Linked DNA regions of Macaca mulatta. The protein of the gene in region 1 purifies or fractionates together with the protein of each later gene. This does not show direct contact. Links are inferred from orthologs where the notes say so. Each region holds a gene or a part of one and is shown on either strand. Other genes may lie near its edges.

What was found. The genes of interacting proteins can lie anywhere in the genome.
Region 2: the proteins of PTPDC1 (region 1) and PPP2R1B purify together in Homo sapiens (affinity purification with mass spectrometry; 3 studies listed by BioGRID and IntAct, counting the BioPlex papers as one, with this or other methods). This does not show direct contact. The link is inferred for Macaca mulatta from reciprocal best matches to the Homo sapiens genes PTPDC1 and PPP2R1B.

Annotation. Positions count from the first base shown.
Region 1 is NC_133420.1:124,657,089-124,664,668, forward strand, and holds part of PTPDC1 (protein tyrosine phosphatase domain-containing protein 1), read left to right. Parts: intron 1-1,541; coding exon 1,542-2,800; intron 2,801-5,782; coding exon 5,783-5,968; intron 5,969-7,580. UniProt on the Homo sapiens protein: May play roles in cilia formation and/or maintenance.
Region 2 is NC_133419.1:112,490,997-112,498,576, reverse strand, and holds part of PPP2R1B (serine/threonine-protein phosphatase 2A 65 kDa regulatory subunit A beta isoform), read left to right. Parts: coding exon 1-79; intron 80-275; coding exon 276-390; intron 391-799; coding exon 800-870; intron 871-1,788; coding exon 1,789-1,923; intron 1,924-2,739; coding exon 2,740-2,913; intron 2,914-7,006; coding exon 7,007-7,067; intron 7,068-7,580. UniProt on the Homo sapiens protein: The PR65 subunit of protein phosphatase 2A serves as a scaffolding molecule to coordinate the assembly of the catalytic subunit and a variable regulatory B subunit.

The DNA.
Region 1 (7,580 bases):
CAACTTTAAAAACTAAATCAAAAATAATTTTAAGGTATTTGAAATACCATAAACAGATAGTTACAATGACCATATGTATGTCATTTTAAAGTCTTTAGCAACAATGTGAGTTGGAGAAACTGCAATTTGAGAGAAGTAATTGGCTACATTTAGTAAGTGCCAGGGCCAAGCTGTAATCCGTGGTTGTCTGACTCCAGAGTTCATGTGCTTTCCATTTTTGGAGGTATAAGGGTTTTGTTTGTGAAGAAGAGTCTATCTGTGCCTAGAATTCTATTAAAAAGTCAGTGATTTGACTTAAAACATTCAGCTCAATTTCATTACAGTGCTGATATTAGGGCAAAAATAAAGGCTGTAGGGCTGAAATTTTCATCGTCATCTGATCCAACCACATGCAGCTCAACTCTGTCCACAGTATACCCAGTGTACCTGTGCTCCTGCCAGGGGTCTGCCGCATACCTGGAAGCGTGCTCAGGGGAGGAGACTCAGCTCTGCTTGAGATTGGTAGCTCTTAGGATCAAGCCAAAATCTCACTGTTTGTAGACATTGACATGATAGCTCTGCAGACATTTTACATTTATACTAAGATCTTCTGTGTCCTAGTGAGAAAGATATGTTATTCCCGACTGTGAACTGGAGAGCATGCAGTTTTCAGAGGTTCTGATTTTCATATGTAACAAGATGTTCACAAACTTGGGGATCACACAGGTGTATTTGATTTGCCTTTTACTTTAATATTGACTGTTACATTTGAATTAATTTATTATTACCTTTTCACTAGTAATTATTACCTTTTAACTAGTAATAATCTTACTAGTTATTCCTTTTAATTAGATGTTAATGAGAGTACATAATGTTTATACCATTAAGGCTGGCTTCCTTAAGATTGCTTAATTTTCCATAATTGCTTATGGAAAAATAGACTTATATCATGGTCTGAAGAAAAACACATATTAATATAGGCACAAATCTGGAAAAAGAATTGCCAGGAGGAAAAGTAGGCTGTGAATATGAATAATCCCCAAAGAAGAAACTGCCATGGTAGGGAGAGTGCCAAGCTGGGATGTGCCAGCAGTTGATGGCAAAGATGGCAGGGTGAGAGGTTCCAAGCACAAAGTGTATGGATTGACTGGATGGAAATTCTCAAGAGCTGTTCAGAGTGGAAAATAGAAACAGGATTTGCTTTCTTCTGTTGGAGTTGAGTAGAACAAGGATAGATGGGCCAGATGATCAGTTTCCCTTCCCTCCTGCACACTTACTCACCTGCATTGTGCTTGTGCTGGCACAGCTCTGGGCTACTGAGATGACTCAGTCATGGGGAGGGGGTGCCACGTAGACATTTAATAAAGTTCTGCGCAGTAAGGAACATGCAATAATAACACCTCTACAAAAAGTCACAAAGTTATCATCATAATTGTCCTTAAAATGTGTCTCTATGTATTTGATTTCTTAATGCATATTCAAATTGTAAATCATCAAAGAGCGATAAATAAAATAAAAATGTAAATTTTTCTCATATTAGTCTTCTCTTCTTCACTATTTAGGTGTCTTAATAGCCTGTTACTTAGTTTTTGCAACAAGAATGACTGCTGACCAAGCAATTATATTTGTGCGGGCAAAGCGACCCAATTCCATACAAACCAGAGGGCAGCTCCTCTGTGTAAGGGAATTTACTCAGTTTCTAACTCCTCTCCGCAATATATTCTCTTGCTGTGATCCCAAAGCACATGCTGTCACCTTAGCTCAATATCTAATTCGCCAGCGTCATCTGCTTCATGGTTATGAGGCACGACTTCTGAAACATGTGCCAAAAATTATCCACCTAGTTTGCAAATTGCTTCTGGACTTAGCGGAAAACAGGCCAGTGATGATGAAGGACGAGTCCGAAGGACCTGGTCTCTCTGCTGAAATAGAAAAGACCATGTCTGAGATGGTCACCATGCAGCTGGATAAAGAATTACTGAGGAATGACAGTGATGTGTCCAACCCGCCTAACCCCACTGCAGTGGCAGCAGATTTTGACAATCGAGGCATGATTTTCTCCAATGAGCAAGAGTTTGACCCTCTTTGGAAAAGGCGGAATGTTGAGTGCCTTCAACCCCTTTCTCATCTGAAAAGGCGGCTCAGCTACAGTGACTCAGATTTAAAGAGGGCCGAGAACCTCCTGGAGGAAGGGGAGCCTCCACAGACAGTGCCTGTCCAGGTCTTGGTTGGCCACAACCCCAGGCAGCAGAAGCGCATAAGCCATTGTTACATCCCACAGTCTCCAGAACCAGACTTACATAAGGAAGCCTTGGTTCGCAGCACACTTTCTTTCTGGAGTCAGTCTAAGTTTGGAGGGCTGGAAGGGCTCAAAGATAATGGCTCACCAATTTTCCATGGACGGATCATTCCAAAGGAAGCACAGCAGAGTAGAGCTTTCTCTGCAGATGTTTCAGGCCCACACAGCCCTGGGGAACCAGTTTCACCCAACTTTGCAAATGTCCGTAAGGATCCAAACCCTACTCACCAGCAAGTGTCTCACTGTCAGTGTAAAACTCATGGTGTTGGGAGCCCTGGGTCTGTCAGGCAGAACAGCAGGACACCCCAAAGACCTCTGGACTGTGGCTGCAGTCTGAAAGCACAGTTCTTGGTTGAACATGAAACCCAGGACAGTAAAGATCTGGCTGAAGCAGCTTCACACTCTACATTACAGTCTGAATTGAGTGCTGAGGCAAGAAGAATACTGGCGGCCAAAGCTCTAGCAAATTTAAATGAATCTGTAGAAAAGGAGGAACTAAAAAGGAAGGTAGAAATGTGGCAGGTATTATTAGTACTTTATTTAATTATAGATATGTTGGAAATATGTCAGGGCAAAAGTGTAATACATTTTCCCAAACTTATTTATTATAGAAATGTGAAGATACGTTTGCATAATACTTAACTTTCAAACTTCAGGTTTCTCATCTCTGATGCAAACCTGATGTTTTAGAAAAAACACAGGATGTTTGTGTGGTTTCATTTAAATCTGCATATGCAAGAAAGCACTTGGTACGATGCTTGACCCACACAAGGCATTGATATTAGTAGCTTCTTTCTTTCTTCCTGGGTCTATGGGGGCAACTGGCCCACAGCAGACAGCATTCGAAACTGACTTGAAGCATCTTTAACCTGAGATCTGGCAGAGGGAACCATACTTTGAGAACCACTGACCTACAGACATAAATAAAATAGTTATTTTCCAAAGCTCATCAATACTAGTGCTGAGCAAGGTCAGAAAAGTGAGGCTGTCTCCTTGGCATCCCCTCCTTCAGACTTGCCAATCCCGCTCTAATAGGGCAACTATGGGAAATCAGGAGAGCAAGTGGGTGGAACCACAGATTCCTACGTGCCATTCACTTTGGCTGAGATGAGGTCTTTGGGGTCCATTTCTTAGCTTTTACTTCAATTAGAATGTAAATTTTTAACCCTTTTTTGTGTTGTGCTTTTACTAGGATACAGTCATAAGTCAGCCATACTTTCTTTGCCCTGAATGAGCGAGCACCTGTTCTCGAGAAAAGATAGGCCTTATAAACCTAGCTATCAGAAACAGCTAAACTAACCCAAAAGGGGGCTGACTTGGACTGTCGTGAATCACCAAAATCTTGACTTTTGAGACCATAACCTACTGTGAATTATTTTAATAGCTCGCTTTCATAGTCTGCCATTGATTAAACAAGGCATATACAATTTCTGAGTGCCAGTATCTCTTCAGGTGCAGAGGCATGAAAAATAAGTTTGGAGCTTCACACTAACTTACAACTATATAATGGGAGGAGAGAACTTTTGGTAAAAATTTTATTCTTCAGAATTGTGTTTTGCCTATCCAATAGTTAAATGTATTGCTTTCTTCCAAAATGACTTGTTTTCTTTATTTTCTGCTCCAAACTGAAAAAGTCTTTCATTCAGTCAGCAAATGTTTCCTGGGCATTACTGTGTGTTAAGAGTTAGCAAGCAAGAGAGTCTTCTATTTTAGATGAAAATCTCGCACCCTCACTCCTGGGTCAGCCCCAGTGGCTGTGCGAGCTCTGCCTGTGGTGATGAAGTGTTCAGGACTTGGTTTGGGCCAGACTGTACGTAGAGTATATGAAAGCATTTTCTGGAGGTGAACACAGACCTTTAATGAGGATAGTTTTGTGTTTTTTTTTCCTTTCTAGATTTTATTTTAGGACTTTTAGTCATCAAAAAATCAGCTGAATTCTGGAAAAGAATAAAATGAACATTATTTGAATAGTATAATGCCATCCATGCCTGTACTAGACCATTTCACATATATTATTTCATGTGATTTTTCACAGTTATCATAGAACATATCTGTGAGGCAGATGATACTATTTCTACAGTCTTTGTTAATCTTATGAATTCAGTGTCACAGATGAGGATGCTAAAGGTCACGAAGGTTAGAGGGTAAGTGACTTGCTCAGGGTCACATGGCGTGCATGTGGCAGAGTCAGGGTACAGCTCATGTGTTTAATACTTTCCATTATCCCAGGATTCTTGGCTAACCTCACTGGAAAGCCTCAGGAAACATCATGATAAGATAGTCATTTTACTAAGAGGGTTTTTGAGTAGTGTCAGTTCTGCCCAGATTGTCTGCTTCATAAGATTGAATCAAGAGCTACTTTGTTTTATACATGATCTATGGAATAGGAAGGACTGTCAATAACAATGTATTGGCGTATTCATAAGATAATAAAAACAAACCCAGTACCAGAGGGCCCTTGTGGTGTAACAGAAACAGCACAGACTCTGGAGTAAGACAGAACTGGGTATGAACACCCCCTTTGCCATTTTCTAGCTTTTGGCTCGTAGGTGAGTTATTTCATCTTTCTTGAGCCCCAATGCATTTACCGGTGAGGAAGCTCCCTGCTGGGTGCCGTTTGAGAGTTAGAGATAAGACAGGCATTACAGTTTCAGTCCCACTGTGTGCATGTAGTAAATATTGGATAGGTGAATGAACGAGTGAATGGTAGCAATTATTACACTTACTTCTATTGTAAAAATGTATTTGACTCACTGAAACATAAATCTGAACCCTATCAGAAATTCATTAAAATCCTTATCTCACTTTTCCTTTGCTCTCTGTGAGGTAAAGTTTTAAAATCTCATGCTTAAATTTTCTCTAAGCAATTGGAGTATCAGAAAAACTTTCCAGTTATTTTCCCTATGTCAGATTTCAGGCTTATTGTTAAATCCTACATAGGATTCTAAAAAGATATTTCAAAGAAGTACATATGCCCCATTTACCAACTTTCAAGCACCTTCATTTTATTTTTGCAGACTTCGAAGCTCAGTCAAAGCCTTTCCTTAGACCCCAGGTTAATGTATAAATGTTCCCTTATTTCTACTTTTTTGTCTACCATCTACTTTATTGCAAAAAATAGTTCTGTTTTGTTCACCAGAAGCCTGAAAAGGAAGGCTCTTCTGAACTGTTTCTGTGGTTTCTGAATAAAGTAGAGAACTTGGATTAACTAAGCCCTTTCTCTGTGCTAAAAGCTTTAACCGACCTTATCTCAGTCAGCCCAACAACTTGTGAGGCAAGGGATGAGTTTCATAGAGAGAAACTGAGGCTCACAGAATTCAATGTCTTAGTCCAGTGTCCATCCTGGAAGTAGAGAGGCTGGGAGGGGTCCCCGTTCTGCACCCGAGAGCCTGAGTCTTTCACTCTCGTGGGCAGTGCGAGAATCATGCAGTGTCAACTGGTGCACCTCTCTCTCCTCTCCCTGTCTCTATCTCTGTTTGTCTGTCTCTTTCTCTTCCTTTTTAGAAAGAGCTTAATTCCCGAGATGGAGCTTGGGAAAGAATATGTGGCGAGAGGGACCCTTTCATCCTATGCAGCTTGATGTGGTCTTGGGTGGAGCAACTGAAGGAGCCTGTAATCACCAAAGAGGATGTGGACATGTTGGTTGACAGGCGAGCAGATGCCGCAGAAGCACTGTTTTTATTAGAGAAGGTAAAGTGGCTGTAGGACCAGTTAATGACTGTAACTGAAGCCCTTAGTTTTTCACGCAGAAAAAAAAATCCATTATAAAAAAGGGAATTCATACAGAACCCCAAATCTAAGTCTAATTTAATAGTTTTTCTAAGAGAAGAGAAGAAACTGATACCCAGTGTAAACGCTTAGAAAATACAAAAATAAAAAATAAAAAGGAGAACTATCCATAGTCCTGGGAGAGGCACTGCAAACATTTTCAAATCTTTTAAACTTATCAATATGTATATTAACTTGTTAAAAATCATTTTAACATGTAAGTTTGTTTCATTTTTGCTTAAAGTTATAGCTGTTTTCCCACAAATAACACAAGCTTTTCATAAATATTGACTGTAACAGATATGATGCTATAACACGAGACTGTGCCATAATTAACCACTTTTTCATTGTTGGGTGTTTGTTTCTACTTATTTGCTGTGAGCATGCATATGAGAAAAATTATGAAGTAGGTTGGGATATGCACTCATTCGTATTTTTAAAAAGGGGTAGGTGTCACACATACATGTATATGTAATTTGTATGTGTAAAATACAGATGTTTTCTATATTTTATGTATAAAATATATATGTTTAAAATGGAGAAAATATGTATATATGTATAAAATATAGAAGGAGAAATAAGAAACTGGTAATAGTGATTACCTTTAGGAAAAGATATTAGAAGACAATGGATCTAGGAAACAGGAGAAATTGTATGAATCTTTTTATACAATTTATCATTTTTATCCATACAGTGATACTAAATTTTCAGTTTAAAATAGGCTTTGTTTTTGTTTTGGTTTGGTTTTTTTTGAGACAGTTTCGCTCTTGTTGCCCAGGCTGGAGTGCAATGGCACGATCTCAGCTCACCGCAACCTCTGCCCCCTCGGTTCAAGCGATTCTCCCGCCTAGCCTCCCAAGTAGCTGGGATTACAGGCATGTGCCACCATGCCCGGCTAATTTTGTAATTTTAGTAGACAGGATTTCTCCATGTTGGTCAGACTGGTCTCAAACTCCCAACCTCATGTGATCCGCCCACCTCGGCCTCCCAAAGTGCTGAGATTACAGGCGTGAGCCACCGTACCAGGCCTGTTTTTGTTTTAAGAAACAATGTTATCGAATAACCAACCTTGAGTTACCTACTATGCTGCATGTAAACATCTCCTCAGTTTCTAAATTTCACTAAAAATCTTCTGCTGTTACTACACAGACACACACACACACGGACACATATGGATGGATGCACACACAGACATACAGATACATGCGCTCACACACATGTACACAGATACAATACACAATACACAGACATGTGCGTGCCTGCACACACAGACACTCACACACCACAGTTACCCAATACACATCTTTTAAGAAATAATTTTTCCTGTATCTGAAGTCCTTTTCTTAGGATATTTTCTCAGCAATTAAATCACAAACATAAAACAGGAGATGATGAGAAGGGAGATTAATGTTTGGTAGGTGACTGGGCCAAGCCCTTCAGGACATAATTTGCATTTTCTCTTCTGTTTATCTCAATACCCCTTAGAGGTAGAGGCCCGTATCACAGACAAAGAAAGCTGAGGTTGCATGCCCAA
Region 2 (7,580 bases), on another chromosome or scaffold:
GGTGATGCCTACACTTCGACAAGCAGCAGAAGATAAATCTTGGCGAGTTCGCTATATGGTGGCTGACAAATTTTCAGAGGTAAAATGATCATTTTTAGGTACTAAGGAAATAAACCTGAACACCCATAGATTTGCTGTCGTACCCAAAGTTTCTGAATTCTTTTCAGTGGGAAGTGTTGTGGCAAAAATATGTACTTACAGATTGCACAATTTTGTTTTGTTCTTGTTAATTCTTTTGTTATTATACATTAAAACCCGTTCAAATTCTTTTATAGCTCCAGAAAGCCATGGGTCCTAAAATCACCCTAAATGACCTCATCCCCGCCTTTCAGAACCTACTTAAAGACTGTGAAGCTGAAGTCCGGGCGGCTGCTGCCCACAAAGTAAAAGGTTAAGGAGTTCAATTTATGTTGGAACATGTGTTGTTTATTTTGGTGCATTTCTTTTTGGTGAATTTTGCATGTTTTTTGTTCTAGAATATGTTTTTAAAATACATAGGGATGTTTTCAGTGTGTGGAAATGTCACATTGTCACATAAAGATAATCCCTTTATGTTTAAAACCAATAAATCATTTTGTCTTGTTTTTGTAAAAGAAAATGCTTTTCAGATTGGATTGGTGTGATACGCAGTGGCATAAGGATTTCATGAAAAAAGTGTATTTAGAACAAGAGCTATTTTCCTTATCTGCTTAAACATATAATGTAATTGAAATTGTTGATAAACCTGGTTAAATGTCCTCATTTGGCTCTTTGTAAATGGCCCTGTGAAAGCATTCTTTTTTTTCTATTTATCTTTTAGAACTTGGTGAGAACTTGCCCATTGAAGATAGAGAGACCATAATTATGAATCAGATTCTGCCCTATATAAAGGTAAACCTGACTTTAGTTTATTTTGTTTCACTCTGATTTGCATAAAGGTAAACCTTAATCTCATTTTTTTTGTTTGTTTGTTTACCTTAAAGCTTTTTGAGTTTAAAGGTTGATAGGGAATGAATGGGGAAGATGTGTTAATGTGCAACATTGTTATTTATCACTTATTAGCCTATTGTAGTTGTAAAATGCTCTTTGGTGCATAGGTTTATGTTACCTAACTAGTAGTCTGAGGAAACATTATCAACTAATCAATATTGAAATAGTGCTGTCTTTAAATTCCTTGGGGTCGGGCATGGTGGTGCATGCCTGTAATCCAAGCACTTTGGGAGGCTGAGGTGGGAGGATTTCTTGAGCCCAGGAGTTTGAGACCAGCCTGGGCAACATAGTGAGACCCCATTGCTACAAAAAATACAAAAATTAGTTGAGCCTGGTGGCATGCACCTGTAGTACCAGCTACTTGGGAGTCTGAGGTGGGAGGACTGCTTGAGCCCAGGAGGTTGAGATGGCAGTGAGCTATGATCATGCCACTGCACTCCAGCCTAGGTGACAGGATGAGACCCTGTCTCAAAAAATTCAGGCCATCTTGGTGGCTTACACCTGTAGTCCCAGCACTTTGAGAGGCCAAGGTAAGAGGATTGCATGAACCCAGAAGTTCAAGACCAGCCCTGGCAATATAGTGAGAACCTGTCTCTACAAAAAATAAAAAAAATTAGCCAAGCCTGGTGGTGCATGTCTGTAGACCCAGGTACTCTGGAGGCTGAAGTGCTCGAGCTGGGAGGTTGAGGCTGCAGTGAGCCAAGGTCATACCACTGCACTCCAGCCTGGGCAACAGAGCAAGACTCTGTCTCCCAGAATAATGGTATGGAAGTTTCTGCTGTCTTGTAATAAAGGCTTTTAATTTTGATTTTATTTTAGGAATTAGTATCCGATACCAATCAACATGTCAAATCGGCTCTAGCTTCTGTAATTATGGGATTGTCTACTATTTTGGGCAAAGAGAATACCATTGAACATCTTCTACCTCTTTTTTTAGCTCAGTTAAAGGATGAGGTGGGTCTTGCTTTATGTTCTGTTGCCTTTGATAGTGATTTGATTTGATTTGATTTTGGTTTGGGGTTTCACTAAAATAGAACCCCCAAAAAGAAAATGGATAAAAAAATCATAACTTATTTTAAACCAATGACAACACCTGTGATTTTGGTTACAGGGTTATAGGTTCCTCAGAAAGTGGGCACGAGGACCCATTAAAGTAAACCTAGAAATGTTTATCACCTTCACCTGACTTTTGTTTTATACTTCCTGGTTCCTTTAAAGCTAATGTGTCTTTGTTTAAAAAGTTTCTTTTATTTGAGTTTAAATATAGTATCCAAAATTATAATGATACCTAATATTTACTGAGTACTGCGTGCCAGGCATGAGCCTTAGTGCTTTGCATATATTTTTACATGTAATTCTCACAACAATCCTATGAGTTAGGTCTTATTATTCCATTTTACAGATGAGAAAGCTGAGGCCCAGAGGGTTAAAGTAACTTGAGCAAAGTCTTTCAACAATGGCAGATCTGAAATTTGAGTGCATCGATTTAATTCCAAAGATTATGCTCTTTACCATCTTTTAGACTTTTCTTGTAGTCATTAGTCTTACAGACTTTTCATTGAAATTTCTGATTAAGATCATTTATGTTCCTTGAGTTATTTATGTACTCTCTATTATTTCTTCAAGATTATCCTTTTTTTTTTTTTCACCTGAGTCAGTACTTTGTAATTTTAAAACTTACTTAGCAGTTTTTATCTTATCCTGACAGGAGACTGTTGGGCACAGTACTTGATTTTTATATGTGGTCTTTTGGGGCTTGTGTGCTTGCAGTGTCCTGAAGTTCGTTTGAATATCATCTCCAATTTGGATTGTGTAAATGAAGTGATTGGAATCCGTCAGCTCTCTCAGTCTCTCCTTCCTGCCATAGTGGAGCTGGCTGAAGATGCCAAATGGAGGGTCCGGCTGGCCATCATTGAGTATATGCCGCTGCTGGCAGGCCAGCTGGTGAGTATGTGTTGCTCCATGAACTGCAGGGTAGTGTCAAATAGTGACAATTTACCTTGGCAAGTAGGAGGCCTAGTAGCCTGTATGCTTACGTTTGTTTAGATGCATGAAAGTATGGCCTTGTTCTTGTTACCTGTGGGATGGTTTTTATGTTTATTAGTGCATAAATTTCTTTTTTTTTTAAGATGGAGTTTCACTCTTGTTCCCCAGGCTGGAGTGCAATGGTGCGATCTCAGCTCACTGCAACCTCTGCCTCCTGGATTTAAGCAATTCTCCTGCCTCAGCCTCCCAAGTAGCTGGGATTACAGGAATGTGCCACCACACCCAGCTAATTTTGTATTTTTAGTAGAGATGGGGTTTTACCACATTGGTCAGGCTGGTCTTCAATTCCTGACCTCAGGTGATTCACCCGCCTTGGCCTCCCAAAGTGCTGGGATTACAGGTGTGAGCCCCTGTACCCGGCCTATTAGTGCATAAATTATAGGTTGAGTATCCCTCATCTAAACATGCTTGGGACCAGCATTTTTGGGACCAGAAGTGGATTTTGGAATATTTGTGTTATAAATACTTACTGGTTGAGCATCCCAAATTCAAAAATCCAAAGTCCAGAATGCTCCAATGAGCATTTCCCTTGAGCATCATATTGGTGCTCAAAAAGTTTTGGAGTTTGGAGCATTTCACATTTTGAATTTTTGGATTTGGGATGCTCAGTCTGTATTACAGAAACATATTTCACCTCATCACCACCAAAAAACAAAGCCATAGAATAATAAGATCAGTTTCTTGGCATATATAATGTAAATTTTATAATATTTAATGCCTTTGTGACTTAAGAAATATTTAACTGAGAAGAAAAGGGATGGTTTTAGGGTAAGTCTGATGTGACTTTTGCTCAAGGAAACTTCCCTGTTTGCCTTGTATTCTAAGTAAAATGTCCCTAGGTACCACTTGCCCTACATTCTGATTAAAGGGAGATGAGGAATCACCATATAAAAAAGAAGTACTGAAAGGCCGGGCACAGTGGCTGACACCTGTAAACCCAGCACTTTGGAGGCAGAGGCAGGCGAATCACTTGAGGCCAGGAGTTCCAGACCAGCCTGGCCAACATGGTGAAACCCCATCTCTACTAGAAATATAAAAACTAGCTGAACACGGAGGTACATGCCTGTAATCCCAGCTACTTGGGAGGCTGAGGCAGGAGAATCACTTGAACCCAGGAGGCGAAGGCTGCAGTGAGCCAAGATCACGCTACTGCACTCCAGCCTGGGCAACAGAGTGAAACTTTGTGTCAAAAAAAAAAAAGTTAGTATTTTGGTCAAAGTCCACATTATCACATTATCTGTTACTGTTTGAGTGTCATGATTAGTTTTACCCTAACTAATCCCATGTTAGATAAAATTTCAAAGCTGGGTTTTATAGCCATATCCTTTCCTTTTTTTGAGTAGGTGACCTTGACTTTTCTAAGTTTGATGTACCTTTATCCCTGTCGGTAGCACTTATTACACAGTATTGTAATTGTCTGTTACAGTCTAGTTGGAGAGATGGGTGATCTCTCAATGGTACCCTAACATAGTGCCCATAATTAATTAGGCACTTAACATTTTTTATTTTGGGGGGCAGGGTCTTGCTGTTGCCCAGGCTGGTCTCAAACTCGTGGCCTCAAACGATCCTCCTGCCTCAGCCTCCTGAGTAGCTGATAATAGGCATGAGCCACTATGCATGGCCAACATTTGTTGATTGTTGAGTATTTTTTGAGAAAGGTGTGTCAGTTTACTATTGATATCACTACAATTTGTTTCCCCTTCCTCACTCCCACTTCCATTCCTTTCAGGTCACAGCATGTGGAATTTGTTTTTTCTTTTCTTGAACCCCTGAATTTGTATTGTTAATTTTAGTACATTTAGTTTATGAACATGCATTATGTGAATGTCTGTGGCATTATATGTTTTATAAAATTGAAAGTATCCGATTCTTTGAAAAGGATACCAGACATATTAGTGCATAGCGAATGGGATCAGGTGAAGTTATTTTGTCATCCTTTTCCTCTGTCACTCCGAAGTGCTATGAGTCATCTTCTCTTCACTGGTGATTGTCATGGATCTACTCTTCAGAGTGGAGAGGAGCAGTGGTTAACTGATTTGCTGAAGATCAAAACTGTCTGGAAGACAGGCTGCATTTTAGTACCATTTCTTTTAACCTCTGCTCCTTCTAGACCTGGAAAGTTTCCCAGGGTTGCCAGCTCTATAGAGAGCAGTGTGAAAACAAGGCAGATGGTGTCTTTGGCTGACTTACACCTGTCTGGCAGGGGTAACATGCCTCAGTCATGAACATTTTGCTTTACAATTTTAACTACTTGTTAGTATATATATTCTCCTTAATTTTTCTTTATCTCTAAATGTTTTTATATCAGATAGTCAATTTATAAAATTCTCTCAAGACTTTATGTATGACCTGGCTTGTGGACCATGGTAAGTAAGTATAAAATTAAACTGCAAAAACTGGAAAGTAGGCCAGGCATAGTGGCTCGCGCTTGTAATCCCAGCACTTTGGGAGGCCGAGGTGGGTGGATCACGTGAGGTCAGGAGTTCGAGACCGGCCTGACCAACATGGTGAAACCCCATCTTTACTATATAGAAGATTAGCCAGATGTGGTAGTGGGCGCCTGTTACTTGGGAGGCTACTTGGGAGGCTGAGGCAGGAGAATCGCTTGAACCCAGGGGGTGGAGGTTGCAGTGAGCTGACATTGCGCCGCTGCACTCCAGCCTGGGTGACAGAGAGAGATTCTGTCTCAACAACAACAACAAACTGGAAAATAAAGATTAATTAAAACTGAAGGAAAATTCTCAACCTGAAATGAAAAAGAAATCTTGGCTGACGTAATCTAAGTGTATGCCAAAATTAGTTCATTAAGATCTTTTAATACAAAGCAATTTTGGGCCGGGTGCAGTGGTTCATGCCTGTAATCCCAGCACTTTGGGAGGCTGAGGCGGATGGATCACTTGAGTCAGAAGTTAAGAGACCAGCCCGGCCAACGTGGTGAAACCCCGTCTCTACTAAAAATGCAAAATTAGCTGGGCATGTGCTGCACGCCTGTAATCCCAGCTACTCGAAAGGCTGAGGCAGGAGAATCACCTGAACCCGGAAGGTAGAGGTTGCAGTACGCTGAGATAGTGTCACTGTTCTCCAGCCTGGGGCAATAGAGTGAGACTGTGTCTCAAACAAAACAAAACAAAACAAACACTATTTTGTCTTAATAACTGTTTTCAAAGCACTGAAACATTATATTACCTCTCTTTATTTAAAATATAGAATCACCGTCAGGAACTTCTTAGAGTTCAAAGAAGCAAGACTGTAAACGTGTAGACCCCAGAAGGGAGGCACTAGGAACGTATATGTCACAGCATTCTCCCATGTGGTGTGGAAGCCCCAGGGTGAGAGGACTGTGTAAATCGGCTCCCGGAGCCCATCCCCAACCTGCACTGAAGTGGCCACCTGTTGACCGTTGGGAGGAACAGGGCTGGGAGAGCAAGCCCTGCCTGGGCTATATCCCCTGTAGTCCTGGGCCTGCTTTATTCTCCCTCCAGGGCTTTCTCCTGTTGTCTCAAAAATACTGTCTTTAATTGGGGATATCTCTGTGTCTTGAGGTCAGTTGCTTTATCGCTAAGGATTTGTCATAATAGTAACCAAAAAGGGAAGACAATTGAGAATTAGTAATATTACCGACAGGTGTTTTCCTGGGTAATTCATTTTTACAGGTAATCCAGATTTGCTTGGCAGACCATCCACAGTGAATTCTTCCTGCTCTTTTGCAGTGTTGTGACTGGCTTCTGGCCACCCTGTTCTCTTTCACCTAGCAGGGCCTGTGCCAGCTCACGTATGCTTTTTGTTTGTTTGTTTATTATTTCCATCCAATAAAATAGATTTATGGTTTGTTTGTAATTCCCATGGTGTTTCCTTTCTGTCTCTTTCATGAATTCAGTTTATTTGAAAACAGCTTTTTTTAGCCTTCAGGTAATCTTGGTGTAATGTAAATAGACCATCTTTATTTCTGAATTTTGGCAAAGTATATTAATGGAATCTTCTGTATCTGTAGGGTGTGGAATTCTTTGATGAAAAGCTGAATTCTTTATGTATGGCTTGGCTTGTGGACCATGGTGAGTAGATAAAAACAAATTATTGAAAGCCTATATATCCATGATGTTCATACATTTCCTTTTAGAAAGGAATCTCAGTCTGACCAGATATTTTGCCTTAATACTGTAGGAATGAAGAAAGGCTCTAATTAAAGTTTAGTCTTCTGAATATAAATTTGATATTTCTACCAATTTTTTTGTATCTTATATTTTATTTCCTCCATTAAACAATTTATTTGCATTATTTCTTACTCAATCTATTACATTATCTTCAGGCCATCTCTTTTATATATCTACTTACTCCTCCCTTATCTGAGGATCTTCTTTTTGACCATCCTGTAATTGGTGTCCTGAGCAGCTATACACTAGGTTGGATGGAGATTGGAATCAGATGAAAGGCCTGGGTGGGAGAAAGAGCTACTTGGCTTTTTTGAGATGACATAGAAGGGGGAGATCTGCAGTGAGACAGTAGAGGATTCTTAGGTGTGGGAAACATTAGCTTTGCCATAGGGATAGAGAGGGCCTGGATTTCTG